Sus scrofa: one gene and its partners. The protein of the gene in region 2 interacts with the protein of the main gene of each other region in a pairwise test. Links are inferred from orthologs where the notes say so. Each region holds a gene or a part of one and is shown on either strand. Other genes may lie near its edges. The genes, in order: CYBRD1, STX4, STX6, BET1 and VAMP4.

Evidence for each region.
Region 1: the proteins of STX4 (region 2) and CYBRD1 interact in binary tests that used the Homo sapiens proteins (3 or more experiments, as listed by UniProt). The two-hybrid records come from large-scale screens. The link is inferred for Sus scrofa from reciprocal best matches to the Homo sapiens genes STX4 and CYBRD1.
Region 3: the proteins of STX4 (region 2) and STX6 interact in binary tests that used the Homo sapiens proteins (3 or more experiments, as listed by UniProt). The two-hybrid records come from large-scale screens. The link is inferred for Sus scrofa from reciprocal best matches to the Homo sapiens genes STX4 and STX6.
Region 4: the proteins of STX4 (region 2) and BET1 interact in binary tests that used the Homo sapiens proteins (3 or more experiments, as listed by UniProt). The two-hybrid records come from large-scale screens. The link is inferred for Sus scrofa from reciprocal best matches to the Homo sapiens genes STX4 and BET1.
Region 5: the proteins of STX4 (region 2) and VAMP4 interact in binary tests that used the Homo sapiens proteins (3 or more experiments, as listed by UniProt). The two-hybrid records come from large-scale screens. The link is inferred for Sus scrofa from reciprocal best matches to the Homo sapiens genes STX4 and VAMP4.

What each region holds. Positions count from the first base shown.
Region 1 is NC_010457.5:77,688,613-77,693,757, forward strand, and holds the end of CYBRD1 (cytochrome b reductase 1), read left to right. Parts: intron 1-1,493; coding exon 1,494-1,648; intron 1,649-2,508; coding exon 2,509-2,809; 3' UTR 2,810-2,904; downstream 2,905-5,145. UniProt on the Homo sapiens protein: Plasma membrane reductase that uses cytoplasmic ascorbate as an electron donor to reduce extracellular Fe(3+) into Fe(2+).
Region 2 is NC_010445.4:17,420,703-17,426,791, reverse strand, and holds the end of STX4 (syntaxin-4), read left to right. Parts: intron 1-523; coding exon 524-632; intron 633-703; coding exon 704-780; intron 781-2,275; coding exon 2,276-2,413; intron 2,414-3,877; coding exon 3,878-3,988; intron 3,989-4,086; coding exon 4,087-4,167; 3' UTR 4,168-4,185; intron 4,186-4,278; 3' UTR 4,279-4,526; downstream 4,527-6,089. UniProt on the Homo sapiens protein: Plasma membrane t-SNARE that mediates docking of transport vesicles. Necessary for the translocation of SLC2A4 from intracellular vesicles to the plasma membrane.
Region 3 is NC_010451.4:122,576,772-122,583,504, reverse strand, and holds the start of STX6 (syntaxin-6), read left to right. Parts: upstream 1-2,931; 5' UTR 2,932-3,138; coding exon 3,139-3,173; intron 3,174-6,733. UniProt on the Homo sapiens protein: SNARE promoting movement of transport vesicles to target membranes. Targets endosomes to the trans-Golgi network, and may therefore function in retrograde trafficking.
Region 4 is NC_010451.4:73,780,869-73,787,151, reverse strand, and holds the end of BET1 (BET1 homolog), read left to right. Parts: intron 1-2,298; coding exon 2,299-2,355; intron 2,356-3,892; coding exon 3,893-4,048; 3' UTR 4,049-4,995; downstream 4,996-6,283. UniProt on the Homo sapiens protein: Required for vesicular transport from the ER to the Golgi complex. Functions as a SNARE involved in the docking process of ER-derived vesicles with the cis-Golgi membrane.
Region 5 is NC_010451.4:114,171,092-114,178,092, forward strand, and holds the start of VAMP4 (vesicle-associated membrane protein 4), read right to left. Parts: upstream 3,878-7,001; 5' UTR 3,722-3,877; intron 3,640-3,721; exon of another isoform or gene 3,551-3,639; intron 3,196-3,550; exon of another isoform or gene 2,967-3,195; intron 456-2,966; 5' UTR 403-455; coding exon 337-402; intron 1-336. UniProt on the Homo sapiens protein: Involved in the pathway that functions to remove an inhibitor (probably synaptotagmin-4) of calcium-triggered exocytosis during the maturation of secretory granules.

The DNA of each region.
Region 1 (5,145 bases), on a different chromosome or scaffold from region 2:
GGAACATTCTGAACCTCCAATGGAACTCTGAACTGTTTCTAATATATTCAGGAGTTGTGGTATTAATGGACAGTAAAACATCCAAATCAGCTTATCCAGTGCATTTTCAGTTGCTTTCCATTCATCCCTGTTGCCTTTAAGCTGATTCTAGGAGTTCCTGCTGTGGCGCAGTGGTTAACGAATCCAACTAGGAACCATGAGGTTTCGGGTTCAATCCCTGGCCTTGCTCAGTGGGTTAAGGATCTGGCATTGCCGTGAGCTGTGTTGTAGGTTAGATCCCGCGTTGCTGTGGCTCTGGCGTAGGCCGGTGGCTACAGCTCCGATTGACCCCTAGCCTGGGAACCTCCATATGCCGTGGGAGCGGCCCTAGAAAAGGCAAAAAGAAAAAAAAAAAAAAAGCTGATTCTAAATATGCTTCAGGGCATCATGCCCCTTCTGCTTTCATTCTTCTCCATCTCCATTAGTCCTTTGATCTCAACCAGGAAAAATGAACAGCGATGCTAGTGTTTCCTCTCATTCTCCTCTCTTCTCATAGTCGTTTTGTTGGGGTGCTAGATCCCAAAGAGATTATCTGAGAAAAAAAAAAAGTTCCTTTAAACTCAGTAACTCATTGGTCACTAAGTCATCTCCATTTTCTTGAGGAGAAGAGAGTACTTAATGTACAGGGATGTGGGGCAACAAAATAAAATTGTGAGCGCATTCACAGACTTTAGTTTATGTAAGAATCTTGTCTTCTCTGCAGAGTTATCCCACTAGAGATTTAATCATCAGGGAAATGGAATTTTCTGCAGAATTCATTTCTTCCTCGTCAAACAAAATTTTCAGGTTTTTTCCACAGAGTTTTCTTATGTTGAACTGAAGAAATATGTCCTATTGTTTTGGGTTTAGTGACTTAAAAATCTTGTCTTCCCTTCCTACTTGGCAGCCTGAAGGAAATGGATAAAAATAAAAAAGTGAGAATGTTTGGAATGTTCACTGTAGCCTTGTTAGTGACAGCAAAAAACTGGAAATGTCCATTGATAGGGAACTGAATAATTTAAGTTAGAGTTTTAACATAAAACATTAGCCATTAAAGAATAAACTATTATAAGCATGTGTTGATATGAAAATATCTCTTAAGATATACTGCTAAGGAAAAAAGCAATATGCAGAACAAATATATATAGTAAAATGCCACTTACACTTCAAAAAACTCCCTCTCTCTTTAAACACACACACACACACACACACACACACACGCACACACACACGCACGCACGCGCTTGTTCATCATAGAAATTTTTCTGGAAGGATACTTGAGGAAGTGATAGTAGGCGTCACTTTTGAGTGGAACTGGAGTGGGGAAACTTCATCTTATGCCATTGTTTTTTTGTTTTTTGTGTGTGTGTGCCAGTTTTACACGAAATTTTTTTCATTTCATACAATTTCTTTATGATAATTTTTAAATTAGTTAAAACTTATAAAGGATAACCTTTGTACTTTTCGGTGTTTAGCTGCTTCTAGGTTTTTTTGTCTTTCTGCTTCCTTGGGCTCCACTTTCTCTCCGAGCACTTCTCATGCCCATACACGTTTATTCTGGACTTCTCATCTTTGGAACAGTGATTGCAACAGTACTTATGGGAGTGACCGAGAAACTGATTTTTGCCCTGTAAGTTTGTTCATAGTTTTCCTAATTGCAGTAGTTATGTGACAGAATGTTAAATACTTGTTCATTGAATGAATATAATATAAATGTAGCAAAATTTTTAAAGGTTGAAAATAAAAAAGGTTAAATATTTATTTTAAAAAATATATTATACAGGTAATTTAGCATTAATAATGCTTGGAAGAAAAACCAGTCGAACAGATTGTACCATTCTTTATTATTAAAGTTATGCATGTTCTTGCAGTCCTTTTGATGTGCATGTTTTTATATTAATTGTAATTATGGCATGCATATGTTTGTGTGTCCTTTTTTCAATTTTAAGTAATACAAGTGTTTTAGATAATAAATTTTTATTTTTTTTTATTTTTTAATTTTTTTTGTCTTTTTGTCTTTTGTTGTTGTTGTTGCTATCTCTTGGGCCGCTTCAGCGGCATATGGAGATTCCCAGGCTAGGGGTTGAATCGGAGCTGTAGCCACCGGCCTACGCCAGAGCCACAGCAACGCGGGATCCAAGCCACGTCTGCAACCTACACCACAGCTCACGGCAACGCCAGATCGTTAACCCACTGAGCAAGGGCAGGGACCGAACCCGCAACCTCATGGTTCCTAGTCGGATTCGTTAACCACTGCGCCACGACGGGAACTCCGATAATAAATTATTTTCATACTTATGATTTTTAATGATTTCATACTAGTCCATTGAGTGAATTATGGCCTCACTTAAATTTCTCCATATTATCAAGCCTTAAAGGGATTTATGTTGAAGCCATACCAGTGTGTATTTTGAGCAGATACATTCAAGACTCTGTGGCGTGTTGTTGTATCACCCTCTATAATTGGACACACTTTCTCCTTTTTTGTAGGCAATCTCCTGCATACAGTACCCTTCCACCAGAAGGTGTTTTCACAAATACCTTCGGCCTTCTGGTTCTGGTGTTTGGGGCTCTCATTTTTTGGATAGTCACCAGACCGCAATGGAAACGTCCTAAGGAACCAAATTCTGTCCTTCTTCACCCAAATGGAGGCGCTCCAGAGGGAGCCGAAGGTACCATGGCAGTGAACTTTGGCAACATGGACAAATCAGATTCAGAGTTAAACAGTGAAGCAGCAGCAAGGAAAAGAAACTTCGCCCTGGATGAGGCTGGACAGAGATCCACCATGTAAATGGGGTGGAGGGGTAACCAGGTAACATGGCTTTTTCAAACAAGCTCTAGAGCTTAGCTTCTCCTATTCAGCTGTTAGATGATTGAGCTCCACAGAGCCAATATTTATTCTAATCATGAAGTAGGATTTCTTGGAAATGTTTGTATTGATTGAGGCCTATGAACTTAACCTGAATTGAAAGGGAGATGATCAGTGTAAATAACAGTGGATATAAATTGGGGTTCTGTTACCTCTTTCTTGTTGAGGACCAAAGCATTTAGCATCGTGCCTTGTGTAGAACGAATGACGAGAATGTTTCTATCAGTTGGTAAATGCGATAAACTGACACCTTCCCCAGGCTCTTGTCACGCAGTCATTCTCTGTTAATTCTGGGAGTCTAGTTCTAAAGTTTCGGAATCAGGTCATGAAGATCTGGGACAGGGTTTATGCTGCACAGATATGACCAGAGCACAGAAAAAAATTTAGGAGAATAACCGGTTCCCTTTTCCCTGTGCCTGCCCTCTGCTCCTTCCCCAGCTCGTTTGACCTTAGATTGGCCCTGGAGACTGAGGTTTTTCTTAGGGCATTTGGGGAAGTAACTGGGCCTATGTAGCTGAACAGGTCACCTCTGATCGGACCTGGACATTTTCCCAAAACTGACTTCACCCAAGGCTTCCTTGGGTTTAGTGTACTTTATGATTCAGATTTCAAACCGAATTAGAATGAGAATATGCCTGCATGCTTAGGCAGTATAAACTGCTCTCCAAACCTCAAAGAGCACTTTTTCCCAAGCTTCTGGTTTTATTTTAAAAAGTACTTATATGGAACATACTATATGCCAGACAATACACTAAACACTTTACAAATCTCAGTTCATTCAATCCTTAGAAAAACCTCATTCGGTAGGTACTATTAAAATCTTCATTTTGCTTATGAGAGATCTGAGACTGGGGAAGGTTAGAAACTTGCCCAAAGGTCAAACAGCTCTTAAATGTTGGAACAAGATTCACAACCTGGCAGTTTGACACCTCGGTCCATGATCCTAACCACTTCACTAGGCTGTTTTTGCTGTTATGCACTAATTTATACCTGCCTTGACCCCCCTCTGGATAAACATCATTTGCTGGAGTGCAATAGAGTTGTTAAAATTTACCTTCTGGCTCTGATTCCAAGGCAGAGTCTCCAAATAGCCACGGCAAAGGGCCAACCCTTACCTGGAATTTCCTCATGGGCACCCTGCCACTGCCAACCAGCCACGGCTTACCTTCATACCCCTTTGATCTTCAAATTGTATCTTGATGAAAAAGAAAGGTTTAGTGGAGTTCCCACTGTGGCACAACTGGATCAGCAGTGTCTCCGCAGTGCCAGGATGCAGGTTCGATCCCAGGCCCAGCACAGTGTGTTAAGGATCTGGCATTGCTGCAGCTGTGGCATAGGCTGCAACTGTGGCTCGGATCTGATCCCTGGCCTGGGAACTCCATATGCCTCAGGGTGACCAAAAAAGAAGGGAAAAAAAAAGAAAGAAAGATTTAGGCAGGAACATCCATAGCTTTCGAAGATTCATCAGTTGTAATTTTAACTCTTCATGGTCTTAGCTGCTGACCAGCTCTGGGTTTGGAGATAGGAGAGAATGACTTCATTGTCTGCCCTTCTCCAGGTGTAAAAGCTAGGGTCCTTCCTGACTTGGGTGGAATTTTAGGGGATATCTTGAGCTTTGGGTTCTCAGCAGTGAATTGAGACTCAGAAATGACAACTTTCATGCATGAAGACCTCTGTCTAGGCTCTGGGCTGACTTAAGCAAAAACCTACAGTAGTACCCATGCAGAAATGATGCTTTTCACTTTGGAGTTGATTTTTGGTTACCCTGCAATTTTCTTAAGTTAATTTATTATTATTATTGGGGGGAGGGGAACCATACTCATGGAATGTGAAAGTTCCAGGGCCAGAGATCAAACCCTCACCACAGCAGTGACCCAAGCCACTGCAGTGACAATGCCAGGTCCTTCAACTGCTGAGCCACACGAGAACTCCTCCCTGCAATTTTTAACTGGAACATTTTAAGGTGAATAAAAACTGCACAGTTTACACCAAATAAACGTAACATTTTTGGTACTTAGTGAACTTCCTTTTAGAGTAGCTGATAATTACTTCCATAGACTGAGTACCAGCTACACTCCATCATGTCCCTTAAGCTTCACGATAACCATTCAAAACTCCTTTGACAAAACAGTTTTCTTCTTATTTAACTCTTTTTCCAAAATTGGCAATAGTGTCATCAGGATCCCCAATACCCTGCAAAATACCTGGTACATAGTAGACACATAAAATTCGATGTAGGTAGAGCATGCTACAATTTG
Region 2 (6,089 bases):
GGCTGTGCTATAGGCTGGCAACTGTGGCTCCAATTTGACCCCTAGACTGGGAAGCTCCATATGCCTTGGGTGCAGCCCTAAAAAGCACAAAAAGGAAGGGGGGGGCGGCAAATAAATAAATAAATAAGAGGGCGACCTTGAAACACAGACTAATTACCTTTGTGGGGCCTGAGCATTTTAGGCCCAAGGAGGGGCGAGTACAAAGGCCCGAGCTGGGGCTGTCCTTTGTTCATGGAGGAGTAAGGAGCCCACTATGGCTGGAGGGAAGGAGTGAGGAAACAGTATTGGAAGGTGAGGTTAGATGGGAACCAGGGAGAGGGGTGGGTCATATAGGGCCTCTCAGGCCCTTGGGGAGGGCTTTGACTTTCACCTTGAGGGACTGGAGGAGCCCATTCAAGGCGGTTAAGGCGACAGGCACCTGTAACAGCTCATGCTCTTTGCTCCCTGTACCCATGGGGATGCTGAGGCCCCGAGGGAGCAGGGATCCTCCCAGGGGTGCCCAGCCTCTCTTCTCCCTCCTTAGCATGGGGTCCTGTCCCAGCAATTCGTGGAGCTCATCAACAAGTGCAACTCCATGCAGTCCGAGTACCGGGAGAAGAACGTGGAGCGGATCCGGAGGCAGCTGAAGATCAGTGAGTTGCGGCGCCGGGCCTGCCGGGTCAGGTGACCTGACCAGCGCTGAGCCTGGCCTTTCCCTTCACAGCAAATGCTGGCATGGTGTCTGACGAGGAGCTGGAGCAGATGCTGGACAGCGGGCAGAGCGAGGTGTTTGTGTCCAACGTGAGTGGCCGGCCTCCTTCTGTCCGCTCTGAGTCCCGGCCCTTTTGCATGGAGGGAATCCTGAGGCCCAGAAGGGAATGAAGGAGCCTGCCTGGGATCACTCCTCAGGGCCCTGGCCCCGGTTCTAGGCCGGAGGGCTGCCCCAAGGCTCACCATGAACTTCTTTCTGTTTTTTTCTTAATTGTTATTTCTCCAATACAACTTTTTTTCCTGCTGTATAGCACGGTGACCTGGTTACACGTACATGTACACATTCTATTTTCTCACATTATCAGGCTCCCTCATAAGTGACTAGACACAGTTCCCAGTGCCACACAGCAGGATCTCATTGCTAATCCATTCCAAAGGCAATAGTCTGAATCTATGCGCCCCAAGCGCCCCATCCACCCCACTTCCTCCCCCTCCCCCTCGGCAACCACAAGTCTGTTCTCCAAGTCCATGATTTTCTTTTCTGTGGAAAGGTTCATTTGTGCCATATATTAGCTTCCAGATATAAGTGATATCCTATGGTATTTGTCTTTCTCTTTCTGACTTACTTCACTCAGCATGAGAGTCTACAGTTCCATCCATGTTGCTGCAAATGGCATTATTTCGTTCTTTTTTATGGCTGAGTAGTATTCCATTGTGTATATATACCGCATCTTCCTAATCCAATCATCTGTCGATGGACATTTGGGTTGTTTCCATGTCTTGGCAATTGTGAATTGTGCTGCAGTGAATATGCGGGTACATGTGTTTTTTCTAAGGAAAGTTTTGTCTGGATATATGCCCAAGAGTGGGATTGTGGGGTCATATGGTAGTTCTATGTATAGATATCTAAGGTATCTCCATACTGTTTTCCATAGTGGTTGTACCAGCTTACATGCCCACCAACAGTGCAGGAGGGTTCCTTTTTCTCCACACCCCCTCCAGCATTTGTTATTTGTGGACTTATTAATGATGGCCATTCTGACTGGTGTGAGATGGTATCTCGTGGTAGGTTTGATTTGCATTTCTCTAATAATCAGGGACATTGAGCATTTTTTCATGTGCTTGTTGGCCATCTGTATATCTTCCTTGGAGAAATGTCTGTTCAGATCTTTTGCCCATTTTTCCATTGGGTTGTTGGCTTTTTTGTGGTTGAGTTGTGTAAGTTGCTTATATATTCTAGAGATTAAGCCCTTGTCAGTTGCATCATTTGAAGCTATTTTCTCCCATTCTGTAAGTTGTCTTTTTGTTTTCTTTTTGGTTTTCTTTGCTGTGCAAAAGCTTGTCGGTTTGATTAGGTCCCATTGGTTTATTTTTGCTTTTATTTCTGTTGCTTTGGGAGAAAATAGCCATAAGGTTGATGTCTGAGAATGTTTTGCCTTTGTTCTCTTCCAGGAGTTTGATGGTGTCTTGTCTTATATTTAAGTCTTTAAGCCATTTTGAGTTTACTTTCATGCATCACCATGAACTTCTGAGCCTATGGCTGGTTTCCCTGTGACCTCTCCCTCCACCCCTGTCCACTCTCCAGATACTGAAGGACACACAGGTGACTCGACAGGCTCTAAATGAGATCTCGGCCCGGCACAGCGAGATCCAGCAGCTCGAGCGCAGTATCCGTGAACTTCATGAGATCTTCACTTTTCTGGCTACGGAGGTGGAGATGCAGGTGGGCGCCCCAGGCAGCCGGCTGGGCTTGATCCTGCCCCCACATGTGAGACCTTGCTCAACCAGAACCCCTGCTGTGACTGTCCGCCCACCTCCACTCTTAGCCTCTCTCTGCGAGGCTTCTGTTCTCCTCCAGACTGGCCTGTACTTCCATCTTAGCTGTGCCTCCAAATTGCGTCCTCCTCAGGAGTTCCCCCTGGGGCTTAGCGATAATGAACCCAGCTAGTATCCATGCGGATGTGGGTTCGATCCCTAGCCTCGCTCCATGGGTCAAGGATCTGGCAATGCTGTGAGCTGTGGTGTAGGTTGCAGATGCGGCTCGGATCCTGCATCGCTTTGGCTGTGGCGTAGGCCGGCAGCTGCAGCTCCAATTCATCCCCTAGCCTGGGAACTTCCATATGCTATGGGTGCAGCCCTAAAAAGAAAAAAAAAAAAAGAAAGAAAGAAAAGAAAAATCGTATCCTCCTCAACAGCTACCCAGATGGCCACTCTTCTGTGCACTGCACCCCAGTCCTCAAACTTGAGCCCACCTCGGGCATGGCCCCAACTTTGGCTCCCCCTCCACTAACAGACTCCACCCTTATACCTCTGAGAGCACCTGAACTGCCCCCCAGAGGACCTGCCTCCCAGAACTTGCACAAGCATGGGGCGGGCGATGGTGTTCTTCTCCCAGCCCTGGTCTATAAGAGAAGGGGTGCTTCCAACCCCGTCCAGAAGGAGCTCTTACCCCGTGAGTGCTGGAGCCATTGCTCTTCCCAGGGAAGAGATTTTGCTCAGCAGGAGCACCAGGACCTGAAGGCTGGCAGTGCCGGGAGGAGACAGGGATCAGGGAGCTTCACAGCAGCTGGGAGTCAGGCCTAGAACAGGTGAATTCAGACTGATTTGTGAGGGGACAGAAGCTTGCCCTCCATGAAAAGATATGAGCCATTAAAGGCACCCAGCTCCCAGCCAGCCCTGCCAGTAGAGGCTATAGGTGGCAAGGGAGCAGGGCAGAAGGGACCACAAGGTAGAAGGGGGCTTGGAAGCCCCCTTTGGAGTGTGAACTTCGGCCAGATGTGGTCCTGCCTCCACTTTTGTTTTTTGTTTTGTCTTTTTAGGGCCGCACCCAGGGCATATGGAAGTTCCCAGGCTAAGGGCTGAATCAGAGGTGCAGCTGCCAGCCTACACCACAGCCACAGCAACACCAGATCTGAGCTGCATCTGTGACCTACACCACAGCTCACGGCAACGCCGGATCCTTAATCCACTGAGCGAGGCCAGGGATCGAACCCGCATCCTCTGGGTACGAATCAGGTTCTTAACCCGCTGAGTCACAATGGGAACTTCTCCATGCCTTTGTTAGTGCCCTGTTTTCAGCCAGGAACGCCCTTCAGTCTTGGGGCTGTGGTGGGCAGACAGAGGAGCTGCTGGGCCTCCACCCCGAGTCCCTCCTACCCGCCTGAACCCTCCCTCCTCTTCTGAGCAGGGGGAGATGATCAACCGAATCGAGAAGAACATTCTGAGCTCAGCAGACTATGTGGAACGTGGGCAGGAACACGTCAAGATGGCCCTGGAGAACCAGAAGAAGGCAAGGAAGGTGAGCGTCCCGCCACCCACTCCCCTGCCCTGGGGGGGGCTCTCTCCCCCCGCCCCCCGAGAGTTTCCCCGACCATCCCCCCTCCTCCTCTCCTACAGAAGAAAGTCTTTATCGCCATCTGTTTGTCCGTCACTCTCCTTATCCTGGTGGTCATCATTAGCGTCTCCATTCTGGTGTGACAGCATCGTGGATTCTCGGTGAGATTCTGTGGGGCCCCCCCAGCCTGCCCCCTCCCTGCCCCCAGCCTCTCCTCCTCCCCTCAGACCCTCTTCTCCCTCCTTCCCTTGCAGGCGCTAAGAGCACCAGGGACCCAGGGGCTGCCTTCCCTCCCCGAAGCCAGGGGTGGGCAGGACAGAGCCTCCAGCCCGACCCCTTCCTCACACTGGCCAGAGGGGCAGACGGTTCTTCCAGGGCCGGCAGCCACTCATCCATGGGGCCTCCCCCCCTTGGGCCACCATGCCTGGGGGCAGGCCTGCCGTGTCCTCTTTGGCTGGGACCCGTGGTTTTGTAAGAAATTAAAAAAAAAAAAAAAAAAGTTTGGAGAATCTCCTTTGCACATGTGTTGCTGAAAAGGCTGGTCCAGGGCCTCCAGGTCTCCACCGCCTTCCACCTCCTGGCCACCCTTGCGGACAGGCCCAGCCCAGGTAGCCTCAGATCAGACTGTCCTGGGTGCTGTGGCCATGCCAGCCTGCCACTGCCCTTCTACTCTCCCATGAGAACAGGTGGGGCCGGGAGGGGGTAACACCCACATCAACCCACTGTCCCTGGGGAAAGACCCCGTGACCACCTAACCCCACAGCAGCGAGGCTGGGCCAGGCCAGGCTGGACACGGGTGAGCTGAGTGTGTGTGTGTGGCATCTGAGGGCGCTGCTGAGGCCAAGAAGAGGCACTGTGACAAATAATTGCCTCTGTTAATTTTTTTTTTTTTTTTTCCATTTCTAGGGCCACTCCCACGGCATATGGAGGTTCCCAGGCTAGGGGTCTAATTGGAGCTGTAGCTGCCAGTCTACACCACACCACAGCAATGCAGGATCCGAGCCGCGTCTGCCACCTACACCACAGCTCACGGCAACACCAGATCCTTAACCCACTGAGTGAGGCCAGGGATCGAACTTGCAACCTCATGGTTCCTAGTTGGATTTGTTATTCACTGAGCCATGTCGGGAACTCCTTTTTTTTTTTTTTTTTTTTTTTTTTTTTTGGTCTTACTTTTTTTTCTTTTCTTTTTAGGGCTGCACCTGAAGCACATGGAAGTTCTCAGGCTAGGGGCTGAATCGGAGCTGCAGCTGCTGGCCTACGCCACAGCCATGGCAATGCCCGATCTTTAACCCACTGAATGAGGCCAGGGATTGAACCACATCCTCGTGGATATACTAGTCAGGTTTGTTACTGCTGAGCTACACTGGGAACATGGTTGTTGGCAGGGAGGGCCTGTCTCGGAGGTGGTGATATTTGAGTGTGGTGCTTAATGAGGAGGGGAAGAATCAGGGAAGAGGTTGCCAGGCAGAGGGTTCAGGAGGCCAGGCCCTGTGCCCAGAAAAAGCATTGCCTTTTAGATAGGAGTTCAGGCTAATGAGCCATCCACCCTGGATCAGCTCACCTTGTTTCCCAGGGGTCTTGTGGCTGAAGAGGATAGAGGAGGCAGGGGAGCCTGACCCCAGGTTTCCATAACTCACCTGAGCTCCGGACTTTAAATTTCGAAGAGTTGCAGGTGCCCTGCCTAGTTCTGGAGCTGGATGTGCTGCCAGTCTTCAGACCCCTGGTTTCAGGAAGCTGGCTTCTGGCTCCTAAGCCTGGTAGTGGTAGGGCGGCGCCTGACCCCGACCAAAGTCTGGGGGCCGGGTTCCAGCCGCCCAGTCCCATCCCACTTTCGATCCCACAGGTTGCCGCTGCTTCTCCTGGCTGCCCAGCGCGCATCGGGCCGCAATATCGCTTGCATCGGGTACACACGTGGGTGCCAGGCTGATGAGAGTCCAGGAAGGGCTGGCCACGTGCTGTCTTTGGTGCAGACTGGGACCCAGCCCCTGCACTCGGGTTGGAGGAGGGGTGAGAGAGAGAGAGAGAGAGAGAGAGAGAGAGAGAGAGAGAGTCGCAGGGGCGC
Region 3 (6,733 bases), on a different chromosome or scaffold from region 2:
CACACACGTTTCCTATCCCGACCCTCCACTATCTCCATTGTTGGTATTTTTCCAAACCCCTGATTACATTGGGCTTTTCCAAGTCCTCCGTCCTCTTGATTTCTGCTTATTAAATTCTGACCTCTCATTTGTGGTTTAATTAATAAATCCACGGAATAGATAATAAGAGGCTATGCCAGGCATTGAGGTGATTCTCACATTAAGATAGTCTCCTTTCTCCAGGAGCTTCCAGTTTAGTGGGGAAAACCAATATACTAGCAGCTAATTTATATCTACCTTCAATCTAACCCTCCTGTGTTATTAGTGATTGGAACTAACAGTTACCCACTTCCAACTCCAGAAACTTTCCTTCCTCCTTCCCCAACTTCCCAATATCCTGAACCATTCATTCACCAGGTGCCCAGATTTTGCCTCTAAGTATTTTTTTTTTAACATATCTACCCCTCCTCTCCATCTTCATTGCAGTGAGCCCATCTCAGGACATCCCCATCCCTTCTCTGGACCATGACCTTCCAGATGACTTTTCAGCCACTGCTGCACCTGTCTCAAATGCCAGCATTATCCCTCAGCTATCGTGATGTATAGCAGCAGCTCCACAGTTCCTAACATCACAATCAAGGGCCCCGATTAACTAGCTCTGCCCATTTTCAGCCTTAGTTCCTGCTGCCACAATCTCATTTCTTCCCCTCCAGCAATGCCCTCTGCCACGGCTGCCCTCCAGGCTGCCACGCTGTCTCCTGGCTGCCCCTAGCCATTGTTTAGAACCCACTCTCCCCCCCAAACACAAATAAACTGGTAGCTTTTTTCTGCGTTTCTATGGCGACCCATGCTCTTTTCTCATTTTGTATAATGGCCTGTCTCTCCCACCAGTCTGAGAATTCCTTGATGGCAAGGACCAAACGTGTTCATCTCTGTGTCCTCTGTACCTAGCGCACAGTAAGAGAACAACACATGCCAGGCACTGTTCTGAGCGTTTTTCAGACATTAATTCATTCAGTCCTCACGCCACTTTATGAGGGAGGTGTTTTGTGGTGTCCATTTCATAGTTGAGGACAGAGACTAAGCAGTTTGCCCAAGGTGCAATAATCAGGAAGTAGCAGAACTGGGATTCAAACCCAAGTAATCTGGTTGCAACTCTGGATCTTAATCACCATTCTCATCTCAATTTCCATGTGTTTGTTGAATGAATGAAAGATGATCCCTTTTCAATTCCTCACCTCAATATGTTCAGAACTGAAACAGTTCTCTTCCAGGAGGGTTCCCCCCCACATCTGACCTCCATCGCTCCTCCAGGGTCTTGGAGAAGCCTGGAGTCTTTGACTTTTACCTCTTTCCTCCCTGATCCCATTCAATCTCTCATCAAGTCTAGTTGTTTTGTTTTGTTTTTCCTTGGAAACATCTATCAGATTCTCTCCTTCCTCTCCATTTACAATCCCTGCTGTCCTGGTCTAGTCCTCATCCCTTCAGGTGAGATGACCACAGCAGCTTCCAGACTGGTTTCCCTAACTTCACTTCCTCACTCTGTGGGAGACTTGGGGTTTCCAGGCTTTTTTTTTTTTTTTTTTCCCCTTTTAGAGCTGCACCTGCAGCACGTGTAATTTCCAGGCTAGTGGTCGAATAGGAGCTGCAGCTGCTGGCTTATGCTGCACTTCAAGGCAACTCTGGATCCTTAATCCACTGAGCGTGGCTAGGGATGGAACCCACATCCTCATGGATACTAGTTGGGTTCTTAACCCCACTGAGTCACAACAGGAACTCCATCTAGCCATTTTTATTTAAACTTCACAACAATCTATGAGCTAAATATTCATATTTTATAGATGAGAGACTGAATAACAGAACCCAGGTTCAAACAGGGTTTGTCTGGCTCTGAGGACTCTTCTATCTTCAAAAAGACTGCTAACTTTAAGCCAGTCACTTAAATTCCAAGTCTCAGATTTCTTATCTGTATAATGGGGATTACAACATTGTGAGAGCACCTGAGATAAACTAAGCTCAGTGCCTGCCACACAGTATGTGCTCAATGATAATCAGCAATTAAAGTTCGCAAAACCCATAGACTATCTAGCGTATGAGTTTGATAAACTGTTCTGACCAAAAGGCTTCCTGGAAGAGCTCTTGAACCACTTAGCTGGTAAGAAGTTGCCAGACCTGGCCCCTTCTTTGTCCTTCAAAAATGCTCTCTTCCAGGAAGCACCATATGCTGTATGAAAAAATTATCTTACTGATCACTTCAAGAACACAGAAAAGACAAAAAACGCAACACACACAAAAACACATCCTAGCCTGGTGGAAAGTGCACAGAATCTGGGGCTCTGCCCTGTCCAGGTTGTGTGAGCACAAGAAATCTTGAAACCTATATGAATTTTTCTAATCTGCAAAATGGGAATAATAATACCTTCCCCTCCAAGGATACTGAGATAACTCACAGCCTTCAGCGTCTTGCTGGGCACTATAAGACCCACAGAAAGGAGTTGTGCAACATTATCAGAGTCAGATAAGGTAGACGAGCTTTATTCTAAGTCGAGGACGAGATGGATTTCTAAATCTATATGTTATCAAAATAAGTATCAAAAGGAGAGGAAAGGTGAAAAGATTGTGCAAAGCTGATACTATCTCCGTATCTAGGAAACCTGACTACCTTTCTTGCCAGGGAACAAGCAGCTCCTCCCCCTGAATCTTGAGAGGTGAGTGTTGAGAAGACCCGCCCTCTCCGCCGCCGCCAGAGCCCCGCCTCCAGGGTCGAGTAACGCAAGGCCCAGGCCCTGCTGATGGGGGGTGGGGGGGGCTCTGGTCACGTGAGCGCGAGTGCGGAAGTGGTGCGGCTGACGGCGTTCGTGATTGGTCGAGGCTGAGGGACCTGGGGGCGGGGCCAAGCGGCCGGACGCGCCGGGAGGAGCCGAGGAGGGGGCCGCGCCGGGGCCGGCGCCAGAGTCACGGCTTCGGTCTGAGGTGCAGACAGAGTACTGGACCCGCGGCGGGCCGGTGCACCCCTGCCTGCGCGCGCAGCCGCTACAGGTCCCGCAGGCCGAGACGCGGGCTGCTGCGCGAGGCGGGTGGGGTGGGCAGAGGGAGATTGGGAGGGCGCGGGCGCCCTGTGCGCAGAGCAGGCGTGAGGCGGCCGGGGGCCGGGACGCCATGTCCATGGAGGACCCCTTCTTTGTGGTGAAAGGGTGAGTGTCGTAGGGGGCTCCACTGGAGGAGGCGGCGGCAGTGCTGCCTGCCCTCACCTCCCCGCTTTTCTCGCTCTAGGGGGAGGGGAGACAAGTAGAGTCTGGCGTGGGGACCGCTTAGCCTTGAGGGCTATGATAAAGCGTCCAGAGACATCCCCTCTTCGTGCTACCTGGACTTTGAAACCGTGCCCCCAGTCAAGCCCCTGGGGAGGGGGGGGGTCTCCTTTGGCTTGTGCGCCGTTCTACAACTTATGGAGGGGTGTCGAGGGGTTCAGCAGCTCCTCAGGTGGGGAGGGAGACAGGCGTCCCAGACCAAAGTGGGGCTGTAGTGGAGCACCGGGCCCTGCTTTGAAGGGGGAAAAACAGCATCTGGGCAGGAAAAGGGAAATGGGCCTCCTGAGCTTTGTAGTTGGCGTGGACGGGGGTGAGCTCCCATTGTCCATTGAGTTCGGAGCGCTGGCCCGCTGACTGGCGAGACCACAACAAGCCCAGAGGCGTCTGAGCACGTTTGCAGGCTGGGAGGCGGGGGCGCGAGGCTCCGGAAGACAACTCTATTCAGTGGGGGAGTTTTTACCGAGTAATGGGAGGGGAGGAAAGCTGCTGTTCAAACTCAGTGGTGATGTTGGAAGGAAAACAAAATGAAATCAGCCAAACCAAACTTTCCTTAGCTTTCTGTTAGCACAGGGATTTTCCCACAGTGCTAAAGGAAATGAGTGCTTTCTTTTTAACTCCCTGATTTCATCCAGGCTATTTGACAGGTTTCCCCCATTTCTTCTTTTTTCTGCCTTTGAGACTAGAGCTGTCCTAACTTATTTTTCCCTAAGAAGTGTCGTGACTCCATCTTTGATTGCTCAATTGTTTGTTTGGAGATAGAAGCTTTAACTGCACTCTGTTATATAGGCTTTGTAGCCATTAAACAAATGCAGAAAAGATTGATTCTGTTGTTATAACTTGTCAGCTTTTGTTTTAAATGTCAAACAAAACAATCTGAGAACTGCAACGTTCTGGAAAAATCAGTGCCAATGACCTTAAAGTGCCTCTGCTTTCAACTAGTTGCTACTAGCTTCCTATTTCTGTAGGGGTAAAAGTTGACCAGTTGCTTGAGTGTTATTTTTTTTTTTTTACGGTTCATTTTACAAAATTTAAATGGTACTTTAAGTTAAATACTTTATTACCCATGATACAGTTAAATATATTTATGTATTTCTAACATTGCCTTTAAAAGTTTTTTTTTAACCTGACTTTAATATAAATGGAAAAACGCTGAGTTTAGATTATTGGTAATATGTGGCTCTCTACCTGGAAAATGTGTGGTTTATTAGGATTGATTTTTAGGGGATAATTTTTAAATGTGAAAACTGTTTTTTCCTTGAGTGAACGTTCTTAATGCTTAGGGTTGCAAAGGTTATCTCTGGCTGTGGAGACTGTAGATAATCAGAATTTTAAAATTTTTAATGGGATTTGTGAAAATGCAAAATTGTTTTGCCATCTTGACTTTTTTTTTCTTGATGGTAGCCAGTGCAGTTCACCAGTGCTTGCTCACTGATTAGATATCACTGCTTTATTGGAACATTGGCCTTGAGTCTTGCTTGACTTTGACATCATTTTAGCTCATGTTCTTAAGATGTCAAAACCTTCTGCTTTGTGGGAGTTCCCGTTGTGGCGCAGTGCAAATGGATCCAGCTAGTATCCATGAGGACATGGGTTCCATCCCTGGCCTCACTCAGTGGGTTAAGGATCTGGCATTGCTATGAGCTGTGGTGTAGGTCACAGATGAGGCTTGGATCTGGCTTTGTTGTGGCTGTGGTATAGGCCGGCACCTGTAGCTACAATTCAGACCCCTGGCCTGGAGGGAACTGCCATATGCCACAGGTGCAGCCCTTAAAAGAAAAAGAAAAAAAACCCTTCTGCTGTGGAAAAGTAAAATTAGCTACATGAGTGCCTCCACAATGTGTGAGGGAATGTATGGAGCCATGTATCTCTGCTTATTGAAAGTTTTGAAAATGCACCCCACGATGTGGAAAAATTAAAGATGCTTGAATTGTGGCCCTTAGCCTAGGAGCTGGTAGTCTAATCTGAAAAAAACTTACCCCCAAATTAAGTAGAAATGACAGGTGGTAAGTGATCAAATGCTGTAGCCTAGGAGCTGGTAGTCTAATCTGAAAAACAACTTACCCCCAAATTAAGTAGAAATGACAGGTGGTAAGTGATCAAATGCTGAAGTGAATGCTACAGAAGATTAGGTGCCCCAGTAGTCCGGAGAAAGGCATCTCATTAGGAATGGCTGTGGTTGGAAAAGCTTTGGAGGTAGTAGTATGTCTTAGGTTTTGAAGATGGGTAGCTCTTAGATAATTCAGCCTGTGTCTCTTCTGGACTATTGGCAAGAAGAGTATCCATTTGGTCCTCTTGCTCCCAATCCCTTTCCTCTTTCATCTATCTTAGTTCTGCTGGCTGGGTGCTCTCCAGTATGCCGGTGTGAGCCACACATGCCGTGTTACATTGCCTAGTAGATGCAGTAAAAAGTAAAAGACAAGTGAAATTAATTTTAATGTCATCTTTAACCAGTATACTCAAAATATTTCAACATGTGATGAATATAAAGACTGTTAATGAAAGATTTTTCCCTTTTTGTACTACGTCTTAAAAATCCGGCGAGTATTTTGTACTTAGAGCACATCTCAATTTGGACACTAAATTTTCATCAGAAACACTTGATCTTTATTTGGAGTTCATTAAACACACAGTTCAAAGTGCGGATTGATGTACCCAGATTGTTCCACGTATACTTTCAGAATTTTTGGTAGCTGAAGTGTATATCAGTTTTTAAAGTTAAATTAAAATGTAAAATTTAGGAGTTCCCATCGTGGCTCAGTGGTTAATGAATCCGACTAGGAACCATGAGGTTGCGGGTTCGATCCCTGCCCTTGCTCGGTGGGTTAAGGATCCGGTGTTGCCGTGAGCTGTGGTGTAGGTTGCAGACGCGGCTTGGATCCTGCGTGGCTGTGGCGTAGGCCGGAGGCTATAGCTCCGATTCGACCCCTCGCCTGGGAACCTCCATATGCCACAGGAGCGGCCCTAGAAAAGGCAAAAAGACCAAAAAAAAAGAAAGAAAATTTAAAATTTAGTTCCTCGGCCACACTAGCCTGCTTCAGCAGCCTCATGTGGCTTCCATATTGGGGGCAGCACAGGTGTAGCTTTTCTAGAACCCATGCAGGAGTTCTCTCCTTAACATCATTTAGTGGCAGTCTGTTGCCTATAGAGGTAAATCTGAACACTTCGGGATGCAGCCTTTCTCCACCCTTGCTCACTCTGCCTGCCTTTAGCATGGAGCTCTGGCACTGCCAGACTCAGTCTAGTGACTATGACCACAGTACTGGGTGTTCTTACTTTGCCTAATTCACCCACTCAGCTTTTTGGATTCACTGTGAGCATCTCACTATCTCCAGGAAGTGCTTCCCTTGGCACCTACAACACATTATTGCACCTCTTCCTCTGGCTGTCTTTCATTATAAGAGTGTGAGGTCTGAGGGTCTGCTTGTTTTTCCCGTATTTCCAGCCCA
Region 4 (6,283 bases), on a different chromosome or scaffold from region 2:
TGAGTCTTCTTCTTCTCATCTCAAAAGCTTTATATCTCAGTCTTTCATGTTTCTGCCTTTGTACCTCATGTCAGTCACCAGGTCCTATGCACCTTTCTTTCTACTGTTTCTATTTCATCTTCTCTATTTCTAATAGTATCCCCTGATTTTCTTAGGTGAACTTTGGGAAAGCCTTTTAACTTCTCTGTTCCTAATTTTTTGCATGTTCTGAACTGAACTATACTCTGTCATTCTTTTAGAGTATTTTTAAAATTGCACCCTGTGCTCCCAGAAATCTTCAGTGGCCTCCCATGATGTTGAAGTCCACACTCTGTGGCTTGATCACATAGGTTCTGCAAATATCATCCACACCTTTTCAGACCTTACCGCCCATACTTCCAGAATGTGTGCATGCTTTCTGCCAGACAGATTCGAGACCTCCTTGTGCCCTGTGCAGATTGTCACTCTCCCACTCCCATATCTTTGGTCCTGCTATTCCTTTTCCTTAGGTGTCCTCTCCCTCCTGACATTCACTTAAGTCTTGCCCATCTGAAAGGCTCCTGCTCTAAGCTTTACCTAATCACCACATCAAGGTACCTTTTTCTTTATGAACACAAGACTGTTCATACCATTTCTGTAGGACTTATTGCATAATGATCTGCATTGGAATTACTTGTATGTAAAAGAAATTGACTAGAATATAGAGCTTTCGGAGTTCCCGTTGTGGCGCAGTGGTTAACGAATCTGAATAGGAACCAGGAGGTTGCAGGTTCGATCCCTGCCCTTGCTCAGTGGGTTGACGATCTGGTGTTGCCGTGAGCTATGGTGTAGGTCACAGACGCGGCTTGGATCCCGAGTTGCTGTGGCTCTGGCGTAGGCAGGCAGCTAAAGCTCCGACTGGACCCCTAGCCTGGGAACCTCCATATGCCATGGGAGCGGCCCAAGAAATGGCAAAAAGACAAAAAAAAAGAAAAAAAAAAAGAATATAGAGTTTTCTATTGTAATTAGTTTTATATTCTACATAGCACTTAACATAATTCCTTATAGTCATATTGAGTTAATATGTATTAAAGGAATTGCAAAAAGCTAGTTTTAACAGTGTATATGATTGATTCTGCATTAAAATAAAGATGCTATATACTATAGAGCATTCACTGGAAGATTATGTTGCCAAAACTTAATTGGTATTTCATAGTCTTTGGAAGATAGAATTGTGTTCAGCCTGGAGACTCATATTCTGACATGAGTATTGTTTTCGTGGTCATATTAAATCAAAAGGAGTTAATCTATGAACTAAACAATGTTAATAATTTAGAAAATATACTACTTAGAGGAAATTAAATGATTTTTTAAAAAATTAACATTGATAATTTTGGTTCCTTGTTAGAAGAAAGCTTTTGTTTTCCCTGAAATTTTCTTTCTTTGGCACAAATGACAGCTGAATTAAGTGATTTGGACTGTCTAGCTTTATAGATGCTTCATTTTCCCTGAATTGCTGAATTTGAAGAAAAAGCTCATATTCTGATATATAGAATTCTACAGTGGTTTTGGGTAAATATTACCCCATATGCTTTCCACACAAAATAAGTTGACAATATTTGCAATGGTTTGCCAAAATTTTCAGTAGTTTCCAAGATTTAGTAATAGTATATTTATTCAGATATCTTAGAAGTGAAGCCTTTGATGAATTTGTCATATAAAGTGTTTGGTTTGGTTAGTAGTTGTAGCCACTTATTTCATTTAGATTCAACCTCTGTTCTGCATAGCTTCTGGATATGGATAACACCAGCTTGTAAAATTTTTTTCCAATTTTTTATCATACTTTAAAGAAAATACCTTTAGAATCTAATAATTAATTTAGATATATATTCAAAATATTGTCACATTTCTTTAGGAAAATATTACTTATATCTGGATTTGAATTGATAATATGGGAACTTGTATGCATTTTTAAAATGTAAACAAATAAATATGCAAATAAGTGCTGTTGTATTAATAATATAAAGAGAGCAAGAATGTAAGGATAAGAGAACCAGAGAGAAGTATGTACCAAAATCAAAAGATAGACTTAAACATTAGATGAAATCAAAATGAAGAACAGGGAGACAATGTCCATAGTGGGAAAGGAATAGAAATTCTAAATTTATTTTCCATTAATTTCAGTGGGAAAAATATCAAAAGAAGACAGGTATATTTTATATTTTTAGAATATGATTTTATTTGAGAAAATGTTTATGCTTCAAATGACATCATTGTTTTTACTTCATAATACCTAAAACATTTATATAAGCAAAAATGTATATGCTTTCTTCTTTATAGCTTTCCATTGAAATAGGCCATGAAGTTAAACATCAAAATAAATTATTAGCTGAAATGGTAAGTGATTATGATTTTAACATTAGGAAACTTCATCTGATAGTCTCAATTTTGGTTTGGAATAGATCTAAGATTTGTTTTTGCCATATTTTTACACTTTTCATCTTGCCTAACACATATAAGCAGGAGGAGGAGGTGGAAGCCCATGTATTCTTTAATCCTGTGTTTAGAAACAGAATTAGACTCAGGAAAAATCTCTGTTTTGAGCTTTCTTAAAGATCTCAGTGGATGGAGACTGCCAAGTACTCAAAAGTTCTTTATATCCAACCAACAAAATGACTTTCACTTAATGTAAACCTCTTTCTTTTGCTTGATTTCCTGAGGATCACTTGGAACAAGTCAATAAGATTTGAACATAGTAACATTATCTGGAGTCTAAACAAGCCTTTTATCTGGAGTCTAAACAAGCTCAATAACATATACCATTTCTTGTTAGAGGCGCTTTCCATTCTCTAATGTTATTTTGGATGTCAAACTCCTGTGGACCTTCCCTAGTTTCCTCACATGCTTTTAAAATTTATACTATTTAAAAATGTATGTTGCACTAAAAGCAATCTCCTTGCAAAGGTTGTGCATTAGGATCACTTGAGGAACTTTCTGAAAATATTTATGCGTGGTTCTCACTCTAAATATACTGATTCAGGAGTTCTCATTCTGGGCCAGCAGGAACCTCTCTATGCCACAGATATGGCCCTAAAAAGAATGAATGGATGAATAAACAAACCAACACACTGATTCAGAATTTTAGAGGGAGGTACCTAGTTGTCTATATTTTGAAAAAAGCATCTCAGATGCTTCTGATACATAACCCCAATAAGGAACCATAGATCTAAGGTGCTTGAACTACATAGAACCTGAGCTGTACAAAGGTTGTCATTATGCCAGGATGTTAAGATTTATTTGAAAGGGCAATGTTTCTAATCCATACCTGGTCCTCTTAAGGACTTTTTCAGCTATGTTTTAATGTGGTGGTTTTTCCCCATCCATATTTGCCATCTTTGCCACATTTTACCACCTCTAGAATATTCTGTTACCTGTTAATAGACTCTGCTGACCTTCAACGTCAGCTACCTGAAAAAAGGATCTAAAAGTAAAGGTATGTTTAGCTGCTAACCATGTTTAATTTTGGATGAATTGCTGTACTTGGAAGCAGCTAGCCATTTGACCTTGAAGAGCAATGCCCTACCAATAAGTGGGAAAAAACCCGTGTGGGTAGATGAACTACTTGCTTTTATTGTTAATGCTTTTTCATCCACGTAATTAGAGTAAGATCTAAATACTTTGGAATTTTGAATTACTTTGAAGCTGGAAAAAATATTTACTGGATGATGAAAGAGCTTTTTATTTATTGAGAAAATTACTCTATTTTGCATAATCAGGCTGATTATCTAAGTTATAAACAGGCTCTTGAATTAATTAAACACAGAAAATGTCATTAAAAATGTGTTCTAATAACAATATATTAAATTCCTTACATGTGCATATGTAGAATATCAGAATCTAACTACTATATTTTGTTTTCCTTTTCTCCTCATAGGATTCACAGTTTGATTCTACAACTGGATTTCTAGGTAAAACTATGGGAAAACTGAAGATTTTATCCAGAGGGAGCCAAACAAAGCTGCTGTGTTATATGATGCTGTTTTCCTTGTTTGTCTTTTTTGTCATTTATTGGATTATTAAACTGAGGTGATGCAAGTAAGTGTGAGTTTGGAATTTGTTCCAACTTAGGCTTGGAGTACCACTTTGGTAAAAAATCAGCATCTAAACATTCCTAACTTTCAAATACTGTGGCTTTTTCCATTGAAGATTATTGAATTTTACTTGTTTTGTAAGTCACATTAGATAATACAGTGCTCATTGAATACTGTTTCTTAATGATTCCTTTTTTGCCCCTATTTTCAGGGGTATTAAGCTGGTCTGAGGTCAGTCTGGCCCTAACATTTTTCTTTCCTATTTTTTACTGTCAGATTAAATAGCAGTATAGTATTTTGTCATTACCATAAATGTAGGTTTCTGTTCCATGTAAAGAAACTTAGTGGGAGAATAACAGAATGCCTTGAGAGCCTGACAGCGGGCACTTGAAGTGGTGAGCAAGTGTGTGATGGATGGTAAATGTATTTTCCTGAACTGTCATTGCCCCCAGTGATGTACTCTCCCTCTCTTCTCCTTTATTTGGTTAAAAACTGTAGGGCTTATTTCTTTTTACATACAATTTTAATAATTTTTGATGATAGGACACCTCTTTCTTCTCTGCCCAAGGACCTCATTCTTAAATAAAACTTGTTATTTTGGCATTATTTCTTCTAATAGGGTCCAAAACAGGTGTACCAGTACATTACAGAATAATGTGAAGCTAAAGCAATTGCTGAGCTTAATGTGGAAATAAAATGTTCAAGAAAATTAATTGCCTCTGCTTTATTATGTGCTGCTTAGAATAAATATTGGACATACCCAAGCATTGAATTTAGGGTTAAGAGTATTGTTACTTTAATGCAGTGTGTTTGTTTATCGAAAACAAAATGCAAAAGTGGACTGCTAAGTATAAAGAGATAATAAAATATTAAATGCTCTGTATTGGTATTATTTTGGAATTTGACCATTTATGGGCTCCAAAAATAAAATTTTTAATGAAATATATTAATTGACTTTGTGACTTCTTTGTTCAAGTTTTTCTCTCTCTCTCTCCCTCTCTCTTCATAGACTCTGAGAATTGGTTCTGAAAACTCAGAACAAACTTAGGGAAGCTTAACATATTTGTATTATTTCAGGACTTGCTTCAAACAAATGAGATAAATCATGGCAGTAGTTTCAAAAAATCTCTTTAATTTTACCTATAAATCCATTAACTTTATGCTGAATTTGCTGTCCTTTTTGTTCATCTCTAATTACCTATCAATTTAGGCCTATGTTTTCTGGCTCTATTTGTGGCCATCTGGGCCTCTACATAACAGAAAAGATACCAGAGGTGAAGGGGTTAAGTGACAGCATGTGAGAGACAAATCCGAGGTGTGAGGTAAGGGACACTGGATTGAGTTACGTGACCTGGGTTCAAATCTCCATTCCTTCACTTGCTCTGTATTTTGGAGCCTGTTTCTTCATTAAATCATTTATTTCATAGGATTGTTGTGAGAGGAAGATAATGTATTGGAAAGTGCTTGACAGATGATAATCATTTAATAAATGCTAGCTCTCCTGATCATTAACGGACACAACACATCTGAAAAGGGAATTAATTTCAGGGCAAGACAGTAAGTTTGAAGTAATGATGTGACCTCTAAGGAGAAATTTCCCTCAGACAATTAGAGATTGATATGTTTTTCAAGAATTATTTAACTGTGTACTCTCAACTACGTAACATCAGGGCTCAGGGAAACTCAAAAATCATTGTCAATAATTAAAATTGCAAAAAAAAAAAAAAAACGGGGGGGTGGAGTAGAAGGCTAAAAAAATGACTGGAAGGTGGAAACAGAAGAAAGTCAACAGCAGAAATATGTGGGATTAAAGCCTTAGGGAAAAAGCAATGATGGCAAGAGAAGCATGAATTTCAATATTAAGGTTTGGCTATTATATGAAAGTACTTTGTAAAGTATTAAAACATTGTTTCAATGTTGGCTGTTATCAAGGAGGGGAAGATTTCAGGAAAGGGGTTTGGAATGATGTAAAAGTGATTCTCATCACTGCATTATGCAGCATTTCCTATTTTGCAGTTCTTTTTTAAGAATGCCTAAAACAGATCCCTAACCAACATTTTATGTCACCCCTTCTCAGAGCTACCTTTGCTGAGATTCCTGGCAGGACGGAATTCTGCTGGAAGGGTCCACCTCTGCCCTGTCAGGGAGCCTTCTGCCAGTAACCCTTTTCTTGCTTCTGCTTGGGGACCCTAAGGAAAAAGTATGTCCAGAAATACAGTTTTGGGAAAACATCA
Region 5 (7,001 bases), on a different chromosome or scaffold from region 2:
ATATGAAAAATTCTGGGAAACTCCACATTTGGCTCCAGACTTGTAAGATATTGTGTATTTGTACAAAATTTCCTTGAAAAGACTAGAAAGAAGCTGGAATGTAATTTGGTGAATAACGGAGTAGAATTTGGTCGGGTCCCCAGTCTAAGTAATATACACTTTTTAATGCTTATTATGACAAAAACAAATAGGATTAGAATATGACCATAAATGTTAACTTTTTCTAAAACAAATTATTTACAAAGGAAAGATATTTGAATCTTTCTTTTTTAAAGACTGACTCTGAACTTATCCTTTCAAATCAACTATAATAAAAAAATTTTTTAAAAAAAGTACCCTTTCACTTTTCACAGAACCAGTGACATCATCATCATTTAGGTGGCGCTTGAACTTGGGAGGCATTTTTCAAGTGAAGAAGTACTCTTCTACTTCCCAGCAGATTAAGTCTTCACCACCTTAAAGAGAACATAACTTTCATCAGATTTGAAGTTTTAGGATATAAGTACTGAAAACAGCATACAGGGCCCCTCACTACTCTAATTCTCTTTTAGTGAGCTGCTTAATGATTCAATTTTCTCATCTGTAAAATACTGATTTCTAGGCTTCTGCACAGTCAGAATGACCAAATCAGATTAATAAATACATGCAAAAACATTCTGTAAATTATAACTTTGTTCTGTTCTAAAGCATGACACTAGGTGCCCCAAGAAAAGGGATAATGGAGTTCCTGCTGTGGCTCAGTGGGTTAAGAACCTGACTAGTACCCATGAGGATGGGGGTTTGATCCCTGGCCTTGCTCAGTGGCTTAAGGATCCGGCATTGCCACAAGCTGCGGTATAGCTTGGAGATGGGGCTCAGATCTGGTGTGACTGTGGCTGTGGTGTAGGCCAGCAACTGCAGCTCCTGTTCAACTCCTAGTCTGGGAACTTCCATATGCTGCATGTTTGGCCCTAGAAAAAAGAAAAAAAGAAAAGGGATAAGTTTGAAAGGATTGGTTATACAGAGCCAGGTTTTGTTTTGTTTTTATTTTTATTTATTTTATTTTTTGTCTTTTTCCCTTTTCTAGAGCCACACCCGTGGCATATGGAGGTTCCTTGGCTAGGGGTCTAATCGGAGCTACAGCTGCCGACCTACACCACAGCCACAGCAATGCTAGATCCAAGCCACGTGTGTGACCTACAGCACAGCTCATGGCAATGCTGGATCCTTAACCCACTGAGCAAGGTCAGGGATCTAACCTGCAATCTCATGGTTCCTAGTCGGATTCGTTAACCACTGAGTCACGGTGGGAACCCCTGTTTTGTTTTTATATATGGCCACACCTGCAGCATATGGGATTTCCCCGGCCGGGGATCAAATGTGAGCCACAGCTGCAGTGTATGCCACAGCTACGGCAATGCCGGATCCTTTGACCCACTGTGCTGGGCCAGGGACTGAACCCGCATCTCCACAGTGACCTAAGCTGCTGCAGTCAGGTTCTTGACCCACTGTGCCACAGTGGGAATTCCAACAAAGTCAATTTTTTTGTTTGTTTTGCTATACAAAGTCTCATAGCCTTTTATATGCTAACATGCCCTGTGATTTTTTTTTTTTCAGGAAAATGCTTGAGTATGCAACATATTCAAAATTTTCTTGAGGAAAAGCTGATATATGAAAATATGAGTTTTTAGTATGATGGACTAGAAGATGGATAGATGAGAAAAGCTAAGGTGTACTGAATGTTTTACTATGTGTTAGGCACTGTGTTCAGTGATTAACACATATTTTCTTTTACTCTTTACAACATGCCTGGGAAGTAGACACTAAGAAACCAAGAGAAAACTAAGGCTTAGTAAAAGATAAGCAACTAATAGTGTTAATCGCTCTGTTGATTGAAACAGCAGAAACACAGGACTAAATTAACCAACTGCTGTGTATGATTGGTTTTAATGATCCAATTAGTTATCAGGTTACACACAGTTCTGTTCTGGAAAGACCACTTTCTTTTAACAACCCAGCAGCCCCCTTTTCCTTTCTATAAGAACACCCCTAAGATCTTTAAGTAGACATCAGTTTGTTGGTTAATATTACACACTTAAAAAAGAATAAACATGCCCAGAGTCCAGTTTCATAAACTAAATAAAGTAAAATTTTAAGTTGATTTCCCATCAAAACAAACTGATAAACACTTTGCTTTGGTATGAGACGATTTTCCAAACCAGAAACTTAAATCACCTGTAACAAAAACCAAATACTTGCTACCTAAGTTAATAGCTCTAGAGTTCTTCATTCCACAATATTTCTGTCACGTACATCTGGCATCTGACCCATTTATTCCTCGTACTTTGATTTCAGAATAACTCATTCAAGCAGAAATGTTACAGAATGCATGGAGAAACAGACAAGGGAAGCTACTGAAGCTTTTCTTTTAATTATATCTGTATTTTATTTATATTTTAAATCCTACAAAGGGGCTACTGCCATGTTCAAAAGCAAGTAACAGGCAGACTTACATAACATCTTTATGAAATATACAGTAGAGCTACAAGTTTAGTGATAAGCAAACCCAAAATCAGGTCCCATAATCCAAGGATCAGCCTCAGGAAGGCAAGAAATCACTGACAAACATAAAAGCCATCAGCAAAAGAACAGGCAGACTAACTGCTTGATGAACCACAGAGCAATTGGTATTTGTACCAAACAAGTAGAAGTAAACCATGCTCAGAAATTAGACTTATACATATTCTTTCTACCTAAGATTTCTCCTGCACAAAATACATATGAATTCAGGTGTTTGTGTCTAGGTATAAATGTAAAGAGCGCCTTCATGATGTATCTCAACACTGACTGGAGACACCAACACATTTTTAAAATGTCACATCACCATATGCTTTTTATGTCATCCTACGTTTACAATTTCATGTATGTATTTTTGAAGAGGCAGTACGTTCTGTATTCAATTGCTTTATACGTAATAAACTTCTAACCTGTTGTTTAATAAATGCTGTATTCTTTTTTGCTTTACAAAAACAAGCAAACCACAACTCCCAGTACTTCATTTCACAAAAAGCTTGAATCTGGCAGAGGCTTCCGTTTTCTCAGCCTCGTTCCCTTTCTGACTCCTCTTCCTCATCTCTCATCGACAGCCTGGTTCGTGCAGCTTCATGGAAATAACTGACTTGGTTGGCCAAAGCCTGGAGATATTATTCACAAAACCTGTCAAAGTGTAACATTCACCCCACCTTCCGGTCATTATAAATGTAGCGGAGTTGGCGCTCTCTCTCAAGCCTTTGAATAATGAAACAAATCCGTCTCTCCAGCAAGCAGCACTGTTCACCCCCTATACTCCATCGGTCGCACCAGGCCACGTCCCCCAACATCTGCTCCTACCTCTAGTCCTTTCTGCCCCAAGATACCTGCTCACACTCCGGGCTGACTCCCACTCTTCTGCAATCTTCCCCATCCTCGCCACTGTTCTCTTCCCATCTCCCCAGAGCACCCTACAATTCCTAATCTTCTCCCCCTTAAACCTCTCCCCCCCATTGCACACCCCAGTCCTTGTCATTCTTACTCAGGGCACCCCCGGTCCAACCCCTTTTCCCACTAGGGGTTCCCTCCACTACCCCCGAGGCTGGTCCCCCAGCCTGACGCGGACGTTGGGGGCGGCGGGGCAGGGAAGTCATCTCCGTTTCCTTCCTCCGCACATGAGCCCCTCCCTTCGGGACAAGGCGTGCGGCCGTACCTGAATCTCCCCGGTAGCTCTGAGCAGCTCTCCCGGGCGGGCAGCTCTGGGCGGGCGGGGGAAGGAGTGGGAAGCGGAGGGAGAAAACAGGGAGGGGGATACAGTGGGCGCGGACCCGGCGTCAGCCGCTCCGCCGCAGCTGCGCCCCCGCTCATCGAGTCGATCGGCGCTCCGCGTCCCGGCGCCAGGAGGAGGGGCGGGTCCAGGCCACGGAGATCATCGAGGGAGTCGATTCCGCGTGCAGCTTTCTATCCAGAGGTTTTTGCGGTCTCAGAGTTTACATCTGCATCCGCAGGATGGGCTTGTGCCTTAAGCGAGGAACAGTCGCGGGTTCCTGAGGTCCCAGCCGGGGTCGGGCGTTCAGGAGAGGTAGAGAAAGCTCTGAGAAGTCACCCAGGGGTGGGCGCTGAGGGCTTGATCCTGACTGGGGTTGATGAGGCGTTACTAAGATGGTGTTTTGTTGCTGGCTCCATCCCCTGGGCTAAGGAAGCGGAGCAGAAAAATGAGGATGGCTCAAAGCCCGAGGACCGGCTACAGCCTTTTCTGAAGTAACATCTGTGTGATCCCTTGTTTATAGAATCAGAGTTAGACTTGGAGGGAGATCTTAAGTGACCAGTCCAGTCTCCTTGTTTTAGACATTAGGAATCTCTGGTCCAAAGAGATTGACTTGAGGTTGCACAACTAGTTTGGACAGATCTGGGTCGAGGATTCGGTGTTCTTTCATCTGTTATTGTGGAGTCCTAACCTAAAATAACCGGGTCCAGACACCAGGTAGACACCAGAGCCTTCAGATTTGAGGTGGAAGATGACTCCTGCAGGGCCTTTCCACTGTTCTCTTGACTCCTCCTACCTCCTCTCCACCCAAATTAGTAGCATATTTAAGCCTGCAGTACCAGGGTTCAGTAATACAAAATAATTCTAGTTTTACCTTTGCTTTCCCTTATTTACCCATTCCTCCCACACACGCCCCAGCTGGATTGTTTTATCAATTTATTTCTACCAATTTGCTCCACTTTTTTTTTTTTTTTTTTTTTTTTTTACTAAATATGGCTCCTTTAATACAGTGTTTTTTGATTTAGTGTAATTTAAGCCAAACAAACACTAATTGAAATATACCTTAGGTAGGGTAATGACTCTCAGGTTAATGATGTAGAGAGTTGATTTTTTTTTTTTGGTTGGCGGGGCATGCGAAAGTTCCTGGGTCAGTGACTTGAGCCTCAGCAGTGACAATGCTGGATCTGTAACCCACTGAGCCATTGGGGAACTCCAAACTGAATCACCTGGAAAGCTTTAACAATGAGTGCCCATGCCTTTCTCTGAGATTCTAATTCAATTGGCCTGGGATGTTGAGAAACGGTGAGCCATAGGTTGTCAACCAAAGCTTCTGAAAGTCTGGTATTAGACTATCTGTGAGTCCACTACTCAGATCCAGGCTGACTTGGACTGAAATTGTCCACCTGGAAGGGAAGTTACTTCTACTATGTTTTTCTGCCTGGACATGAAGGTCAGACTACTGATACATAGATGACCCAGAAGTTTTTTATTTTTCGTTTGCCTTCTACGGTTGATTTTGTATCTGCATATCTGCTTGTTATTGGTACTTCCCTGCTTTGGTGACTCAGTCAATTAGAGCTTTAGCCAGTTACAGCCTCAGCCTTCTTACAGGACAGCTGAAGGCAATATGGTTATTGAGCTGGACTGACATGTCATTGTATAGCTTGTATGTATAAGCCATTCTTTTTGTTTTTAACCATAGTACTTTAGTTCTGCCAGATATTTTGGTATGATTGGTTTGGGAAAGGGTGATGCCAGCCCCACCACTCCATTGCCTGAACAAGCCCCTTTGATTATCCCCAACATTTCTGAAAGCTTAGAAAGTATCATTTTATAGTTAGTATGAATCAGATATGCCAGTTATCCTGAACGAATATAAATAGCCCTGGACCTAGAACCAGAATGGGGTTCCCATCTCAATAACTGGAATTATTTGATTATCTCCTACCCTATTTTCTCTTTCTTGAGCTCCAATTATTCACATATTGGTCCTCTAATTCTCTTTAAATTGTAGACCTTCATCCTTAACTGGGCCTGGTATCCTCCTAGACAGAAATCCTTTGTTTCACTCTTTCAAGACTAAGTCTCTTGGGACTGACTTGGAATAATCTATCTCTCTTTTTTTTTTTTTTTTTTTTTCGGTCTTTTTGCTATTTCTTTGGGCCACTCCCGCGGCATATGGAGGTTCCCAGGCTAGGGGTCAAATTAGAGCTATAGCCACCGGCCTACGCCAGAGCCACAGCAACGCAGGATCCGAGCCACGTCTGCAACCTACACCACAGCTCACGGCAACGCCAGATCGTTAACCCACTGAGCAAGGGCAGGGACCGAACCCGCAACCTCATGGTTCCTAGTCGGATTTGTTAACCACTGCGCCACGACAGGAACTCCCCTAAACTATCTCTTGATATGTTGTTGTTGAATGGTGAGACAAGCAAGATACAGAACAGTAGGTAGACTGCTTCCGTGTGAGCCACACACACACACACACACACAAACCAGGACTGGGAGTCTGGCATAGAAGGTGTTATGGACTGAATTGTGTCCTCCCCACCACCATCTCCATTCATATTTTGAAGCCCTAACCCAAATGTTACTGTGTTTGAAGATAGGGCCTTTAGGGAGATAATTAGATTTAAATGAGGCCATACAGGTGAGGCTTTAATCTAATAGGGCTGGTGTCCACACATGTGGGCACAGAGATGAAGCCTTGTAAGGACACATAGAGAAGATGGCTATCTACAAGCTGGGAAGAGAGTTCTTACCATAAATCAATGCTGGTGGCACCCTGATCTTGGACTTACTGCCTCCATAATTATAAAAAATAAAATTCTGTTGTTTAAGCCATCCTGTTCATGGTATTTTGTTATGGCAACCCCAGCAGACTAATAATAGAGAAGGGAAACCTTTCCTCCATGTGAGGCATTTTGTACCATTTGAATATTTTACCACGTGTACCACTTTTCAATTAAAAATAAAAAAAAAAAAAACCTACAGTAGAGGTTCTCTTTCCCACTGAAATCGGGACCAGTTGTCGGTCAGTTAATTTAAAAAGTCACTCATGTCTGGTATCTAATATACAGCACAAATGAACCTTTCCACAGAAAAGAAAATCATGAACTTGGAGAATAGACTTGTGGTTGCCCGGCGGGGGCGGGGGGGGGGGGAGAGTGGGAGGGATTGGGAGCTTGGGGTTAATGGATGCAAACTACTGCTTTTGGAATGG